2 linked regions of the Mus musculus genome follow. The protein of the gene in region 2 interacts with the protein of the main gene of each other region in a pairwise test. Links are inferred from orthologs where the notes say so. Each region holds a gene or a part of one and is shown on either strand. Other genes may lie near its edges.

What was found. The genes of interacting proteins can lie anywhere in the genome.
Region 1: the proteins of Ptn (region 2) and Taf1d interact in a two-hybrid assay, tested with the Homo sapiens proteins (2 studies listed by BioGRID and IntAct). The link is inferred for Mus musculus from reciprocal best matches to the Homo sapiens genes PTN and TAF1D.

Annotation. Positions count from the first base shown.
Region 1 is NC_000075.6:15,304,769-15,309,026, reverse strand, and holds the start of Taf1d (TATA box-binding protein-associated factor RNA polymerase I subunit D), read right to left. Parts: upstream 2,814-4,258; 5' UTR 2,744-2,813; exon of another isoform or gene 2,579-2,743; intron 2,158-2,578; exon of another isoform or gene 2,037-2,157; intron 1,300-2,036; 5' UTR 1,274-1,299; coding exon 1,206-1,273; intron 503-1,205; coding exon 112-502; intron 1-111. UniProt on the Homo sapiens protein: Component of the transcription factor SL1/TIF-IB complex, which is involved in the assembly of the PIC (preinitiation complex) during RNA polymerase I-dependent transcription.
Region 2 is NC_000072.6:36,744,094-36,747,741, reverse strand, and holds part of Ptn (pleiotrophin precursor), read left to right. Parts: intron 1-3,236; coding exon of another isoform or gene 3,237-3,238; coding exon 3,239-3,353; intron 3,354-3,648.

The sequences.
Region 1 (4,258 bases), on a different chromosome or scaffold from region 2:
TATTGTTAAAAGTAACAATCTGTTTCAGGTGTCCCTCAAACAATTAAGAATGGCCAACAAACCATTCAATCTTACCTAATGTATTCACCTACATTTAAAAAAAAAACTCACCTCATATGTTAAAATTTTCTTCCAAGGTAAAGGTTTTCTTCCACTCTCAGATTCTAAGAATGGAAACACAGCTCCTTTGTCTTTAATTTGTTTTGCATCTATTTGCGACCTTCTAGTGATCCTCGTTCCCGATGGTTTTCCTCTTGGTCTTCCTCTTGGTCTTAATTTTGGCTCATATTTTCTCTTTTTCCTCTTTTTCCGTTTCTTTTTTTTAAATCTTTCAAAAATAGCCTTTAAAGTCAGAGGCCTTGGTTCTATAGAAGAGTCACTTGATGAATCTGTTTCAACACTTGCAGGTAAAGTAACACGTTTCACAGTAGGGTGTCTTTGCTTTTGTATAGGTGAAGGAGCACACTGAGTTTTAAATAAGCTGCCATCAGAGGAGTCATCACTAAAACAAAAATGAAACTGCATCAGTTATCATTAGCTATAATCCTCCCCGAGTTTCAAGGCCATGCTCCCAATCATGCATTCCTTCAGTTCACAGCTCCAACAGCCTTTACTGCCCTTAGAACACCAGACAAAAGCATGACAAACCTAAAAACCATGTTAAAATTTCAAAGTGCATTTCTTCAAAGATCAACCCCCTAAAATCATACCCAGCATTTTAGAATAGATTCAGTACCAGTTAACCACTAGTACTTACTATTATATCTAAAACAAGACAGTTGGTTAAAATGTTCAGTTTTAACTTTCAAAAGCACCACTTAATCACTAAAGCTTCCACTATCTACCTACTAAACAAAAATGGGCCAATAAAACCAGAACTAGCCCCCCAAATGTAGTTTTCTTGGAAAAAATAAACTATGTTCCATTCCTACATGTTCAGGTTGGTAGAATTATACAGTTTTAATCAAACTGTCAAGCTAATATAAATGCTAATTGAGGTTCTCTCTATCTATTTTAAGTACAAGCATTACAAATAACTTGCTGGAGTGCAGGGTGTGGTAACATGCCTTTAATCCCAACTCTTGAGAGGTAGATGGGCAGGATTACCTGGGTGAGGGCAGCCATGGCTCTATCTACTGAGATGTCTCAAAAATAAATTGAACATTTGGACTGAATCTCTAGTTTACCCACAAAAGCTACCTTACCTTTGGTCTCCAGTATCTCCAGCTCTATCCGATGCCACACAGACAGAATTCACTTCTGATTGAGCCATCACTTTTCGCGGCCTTTCCCAATTTTCTGCAATCACAGATTTCAATGATGTACCAGCAGTCTAAGTTCAGCATACTCCTTCCCACTGTGTGAATTTCTGTAAAATCCCTATGGATAGTACATTTTATATCTACTTTAAAGCCTCTGAGTGGGCTTGTTTCCAGTATCCACATCGGGTTGCTCACAATCTCCTGTTAACTCCAGCTCCCTGTTAGTGATCTTTTGTCTTCCAGAGTACCCTCACACATATGGCATAGTTTTCTTTAAATATGTGAGTGAAAACAAGAAGCCACATTCCAATGCAGTTTGTTTTCTCACTAAATCTACCCCCAAAACCCGACATGGCTTTAACCACCACCTAGCCTCACAGTAGCATTTCTAATTCCAATCTGGGCTGCGAACTCGACACTGAAACAGAGTTCGGGTAGTTGGGATATGGCGATAGTGGCTCAAAAATCACTACTGATCAAATGGTCACAGGCCTGTAATCCTAACAACGTGTAAAAGAACCTTTAGATTATGGCTGAGACGATAGCCTAGCAGTTAAGTATACTGTCAATGGCCGGGCGTGGTGGCGCACGCCTTTAATCCCAGCACTCGGGAGGCAGAGGCAGGATTTCTGAGTTCGAGGCCAGCCTGGTCTAAAAAGTGAGTTCCTGGACAGCCAGGGCTATAAAGAGAAACCCTGTCTCGAAACCTCCCCCCCCAAAAAAGAAATGAATAGAATACTGTCAATGGACTAAGATGAGACTCCCAGAACTCACATGCCAGCCTAAAAATAGCTGTAAGCAGTCCTAAGAGATTCGATGTCCTCTTCTGGGCTCTGTGAGCACTGCGTGCACGTGGTGTAGAAATATTAGGCAGGCAAAACGGCCATATGTACTAAAGGAGAAAAGACTACAGTTTTCCTAGGCTACACAAAATCCTAGAACTAAAAATAATCACAACTTTCGAGGATAAGAAAAACAGGGTGACTACGACCTTAGATTGCAAAATGCCCGCTACATGAATTGCTTTTTTAAATTAACCCACCAAAACTGAAATTTAAGGTTGACCCGGTCGCCCCAACGATATGCCTGTGAGTAAATCAAAGATAATTCCTAGGAATCACTCCCACCTGTACGCTACTTTACAGTTCCGAGACTACAAGCTTTGGAGGCCACGTGGTGAGCTGCGTCGACTATGCGCCGTGGGCCCGCTGCAAGACCCTTTCGGAACGTAACCTAAGAGATGTGCGCAGGCAGCACGCGACCCCTTACACGGCACTAAAAACGCCCTCCAGGCCCAGAACACCTCGGCCTCTCCCAACAGCGACCCGGAGCCTCGTGCGGCCTGCGGATGGCGGGATTCCGGCCCGCTGCTCTGGCCCTACAAGAGCGCCGTTTCCGCGCGGACCGCAGCCCAAAGAACCCCGCCCTGCGGCCCCGTCGCCCGCAGCAGACCTGAGCGGCCACAGTGAACAACCGCTTACCTCTTCCGCCGCGTCGAAAAGAGCGCTCCCGGCGCCCAGCAGCCGGACTAGGACAAGGACGAAATCTCGCGTGAGTACACGTTGGTGGGCGTGGCTGTGCGTGTGGTGGGCGGGCCTCCGGGAGGGGCGGTACCCCGGCTCTCCCTTGGCCTAGAGCTATCAGAAAAGACTGGCAGGAGACTAAACCTGTGTTCGAACCTGAGTGGAAAGAAGGCCTTCCTGCAAGTGGGAGGACACTGCGGGCCAGGTGAGCGTCGATTTGTTGTGGTGACTGAGCCCGCAGTGTGCCAAGCTCTCTGTCAGACTAAGGGTGGCATGTGTTATGGATTTCTGTACTGTCCCTGTGTCCTCACTTGCCTCCTACTTTTTTTTTTTTTTTTTTTTGGTTTTCGAGACAGGGCTTCTCTGTGTAGCCCTGGCTGTCCTGGAAGGCACTTTGTAGACCCGGCTGGCCTCGAACTCAGAAATCCACCTGCCTCTGCCTCCCGAGTGCTGGGATTAAAGGCGTGCGCCACCACGCCCGGCACCTTCTACTTTTTGACCCCTGCACACACTGTCCAACAGTCTGTGGAATCCTGCAGCATTGACTCTGGCTTTGCACCCATGCAGGTCCACTAGGACTAAGTTGTAAGGGAACATTACAAACACCTTATTGAGTGCGTGACAAGATCTGTGGTGAGAGGGCAGATATTACTATCCCTTGAGTTCTCATAGACAAACACATTTCAAATGTAAAGTTGTTGGCCTAGAGATATAACTGGATTATAGAGAGCTTGCCTAGTGTACATGGCACCACGGAGAAAAAAAAATAAAAACAAAAAAAGCAAACAAAGACCTGTGTGTGTGGTTAGATCAGTATGAATATAGGGTCCTATGTGACTGAATGAACTATTTGCAAAGCTGTAAAGCCAGCCTTGTGCTTGAACCCTACTAGTCTAGTATATCGTAAAAGTGTGGTATATCATAAGTACCTAATAATTAGCAATATATTGTGTGCAATATATTTGGAAGAGAGAAGTCCCCTCTAGGTGGAAGATGGGCACTTCTCCTGGTGCTGCAGGATTATTCTGAAGTCTTCCTGGTGTCAGCCAAAGGGGCCATTTCTTCACTGCTGATTCAGCTTAGGGTGGGGTGCATTCTGGATTTACAGACCTGCCTTTGAGTTTGTTGTTGTTGCTGCTGTTGTTTGACACATGTCTCTTTATGTAGCCCTGACGATCCTGGAACTTGATTTGTAAACCAGGCTGGCTTTAACCTCACAGAGAACCTCTTGCCTTTACAGCCCTCTGCCTCCAGTGCTGGAGCTAAACATGTGCACCACCATGCCTGGCTTGAACCTGCTTTTGAATCCTGTTTCTGCCATGTAACAACTGAATGATCTTGAATAAATTTTGTTTCCTTTTCTGTACAGTAAGAAGTACAATATGTCTGTCATGGATTTGAGAATTTTGAGGGACTTTAAAGGGCCTGACAATTTCTGAATACAGGATGGCCTTAATCATGACACTCAGCATG
Region 2 (3,648 bases):
CTCAATACTCTATCCAATCTTTTAATTTATCCATGGATTAAATTACTGATAAAGGCAGAATTATTCTAACAGTCCTCAATATCCTACTTGCTAGAGTTGGGGACCAAATCTCTAATTCATAAAGGAAACTTTATATGCAAACCATAGAGCTGTAGAGGTAAGCCATGCTGATAATGTAATTCCTAATATTCTAGATTATTTCTATGTCTATCCTGCAGATTTTGTGGTAACTGCTTCCAGCAGTTGTTTTATTAGCAGCCCTACCACTTACTCTCAATATTTTGGTATCAAAACCAGTTAAATTGGTTGTGATATTCTAATATTTTTCAAACACAATCTGAAAAAAAAATACTCTTGTGATAAAGTTTTGAATAAAAAGTTGTGCCTCCAGCTTTAGGGAGGAGGACCTCCTATACATTCTAATCAACCCTGTTTCAGAAGAAGAGGTAAACAGTGGATGCTTTCCCACCAATTAGTTCCTTTATTTGTCTTTGAGTTTCAGGGTTCATTGAGATAACTCAACAGTATGTTACACCCCAGCATCCATTTATGGTAGCCTTCAATTTGTTAACCACAGTGAATTATATCTGTCGGGTCAAATATAATAAAGATGACTGAAGGTGGTAAGAAAGACAGAAATTTCTCAAGAGAACTTGGCCAATTTAGTAAGTTTTATCCTTCCATTGTTTCCTTTTCTCAGTGTGAAAAGTAATTACCCACTTCCCTAATTACATTGTGTGTCTAAGGGGGACTTGTTTTTCCTTCTGCAGTCATCTGGTACCCAGCATGTTGGAGAACAAGCAGAGTTAAACTATATGCAAGGAAAGCTTTTGGTTTTACTTGATGCTGATGATAAACAGCCAACTCTACATATATCACATGCAAGCTGCTATCTGCATAATTACTCATGTATCTATGTACCAGAAATGTGCCAAAAGTTAGTTGAGTATTGTTTGAAGCACTCAAATGGTCTTACTATTAAGTACTGTTCGATGCACTTGGGTAATTTTAATCATTCCATTTCTTTTACTCTTCTTTTAAACCTTTATTCTTTTTACACTCCTGTAAAAGCTAAGATAGTAAGATATTGGCTTAGTCAGAACGACTTCTGACCTCTTCATCACCCCACTTTATTAAGACTAGGGAGGATCATCACTCATTGCTTGCTCAGAAAGTTTTCTCCAGAGTTGTGCTTTCTCAGTGAGAATTTTCAGATTCTCACAATCATCTACATCATAACGCTGTATTTAAGGTAGTTTTTAATCCAGGAAAGTGAAATCTATTTTGAAATAAAATTGAAAAGCCATTAATGAAACAGTTAATTTGCCTTTTGAGAATTCTCAGAAGTTTCACCACAGTGCTTAGGCACTACAAGAATGTGCCTTTGGGGAAAAAACATAGTTTCTGGTTGGTGTTACACCTAATCATTTTAATAGTTTCTGAATATCATAGGAAAAAGAGCATCATATAGGTGCACAGGGCACTCATTTCTGATCACTCCCACAAGCTTGCACATCAATGAGTCTAGGCTGGCTTTGTTATGTCTGGTCATGAGAGGAGGACTCAATTCAGAGTTTCTAGGAGCACTTCGGCTAGACTGTCAACCCCATTGGAAGAACAACCTAGGTTGGCCTGAACACCCAGTTCTCCCAGAGTCTAGACCACCAACCATGGAGTGTACCTGGAAGGATCCATGGCTCCAGATGTATATGTAGCAGTGGATGGCCTTACCTGACAGCAATGGGAAGGGAGGCCTTTGGTCCTGGGGAGATTTGATGCCTCAGTGTAGGGGATACAAGAGCAGTGGGGCAGGAGTGTGTGTGTGTGTGTGTGTGTGTGTGTGTGTGTGTGGACCTTCATACAGACAAAGGGGAGGGAAGAAGGCGGAAGGCGGATGTGGAAGGGGATGGTGGTGGAAGGCTAACCAGGAAGTGGGATATCATTTGAGATGTAAACAAATGGAGTGGTTAATTTTAAAAAAAGTTGAAAAAAATAAAGCTTTCCATATCATAAAAAAAAAAAATCCAGCATTAGGAAGAGCAAAGCTACCAGTACCAGATTGCAGATGGGGATAGAAATGGAGCTGAGTAGCTAAGCAGGGTTTATGTTAATTTTAGTTTCAGGTGAAATATGCTTAATATGTTTGTTCATACTATTGAATCCAGTCATTGACAGCAAAACAGAATGTGATTATATGTGACAATTCTGACATCATGGAAATTGATATGAGCTTAGCAACCATGGTCTCACACACACACACACACACACACACACACTATTGTTCACTAAAGAGATTATAAAATAAAACTAGTCTATTGCCAGTCTTGGAAAAATAAGTCACATAATAACAATAACCAAAGATTAGTTCTGCACTTTCATGTGACCTATAAAATGCCATTAACACCGTAGACAGAGGTAAATGACTATCAAGCAAGTTTCTATGGTCAATTGCTTCTTTGGGAACGTTTAGGCAACGTGATCATCTTGACAGATGGTTATCACACATGTCTTTAAGTTTAACAGAGATCTTCCTAGTGTTATCTAGGGATTTTGATTTATGTGAGATGAGGAGTATTTTATATTTTGAGCAAGTGTAATCACTGTTCCCTAGATCTGGAGAATTAATGGGTCTTGATTAAAGTCAGTTTATAAGCTGATAGTATCATAGCATGCTAGCTCTATTTCTGTGTTTCACTATAATGGATAATGGGATAATCACACTATGCTAGAAGCGATCATGGAGAGAAAAGGATCAGAGATACTACTCATTGCCAAATGTACCTAAAGATAAAACAACAGCTCACGCTATTGCAGGCCATCATTTGCCATGACCATTCTGATGAACCCCATGACTGTAATGCCATGAGTATTTCTAGGAACTTCCAGACAACCTGAAGATGGTTGTAGCTGTTATCACCAAGTGATGCAAACAACAAGATTGGGTTTGGGCTCTGCTTAAGATTATGCTTTAAAATTCTCTTGCTTTCACAACTCCAGTGTCATATATAATAAATGGCTATGACGTCTGTTATGAAGAATGCTTTAGTATTGTGAGAGACTATGTAACTTATTTATGGCTGTTGGTGAGCAACAATAGAATTATGCTTGTAATAATTAATACTGTTTTTTTCTAAATCTAGTGTTCCAGAAGCCTCACATAGTGTGCTTCATCAAGGAGTGGGATCTTTATCCTGACTTAGGTAGAAATCACCTTTCCCCCTTTCTCTTTACTCCAGAAATGTCGTCCCAGCAATATCAGCAGCAACGTAGAAAATTTGCAGCTGCCTTCCTGGCATTGATTTTCATCTTGGCAGCTGTGGACACTGCTGAGGCCGGGAAGAAAGAGAAACCTGGTAAGCAGTAGATTCACAGAGAGATGCTTCACTGGGTGGTACTCATGCACCCATGACTAGATGGTACCTTTGCAGACCAGCTCCCTGCCTAGTCCCTCCCACCATTTCTAACTTCCTTTTAATTATTTCGAGAAATGCTAAGTGATAGTTGTCTTGTATTATCCCATTATACTAATGAATGAATATGCCACAGCATAGTCATGAGTTGGCTTGTAGCTGGGGGAATCTGTCTTAGTTTGTGATCTAGACCACATTTATATCATATCTTTTTTTTCAACCAGACAAAACCAGACCA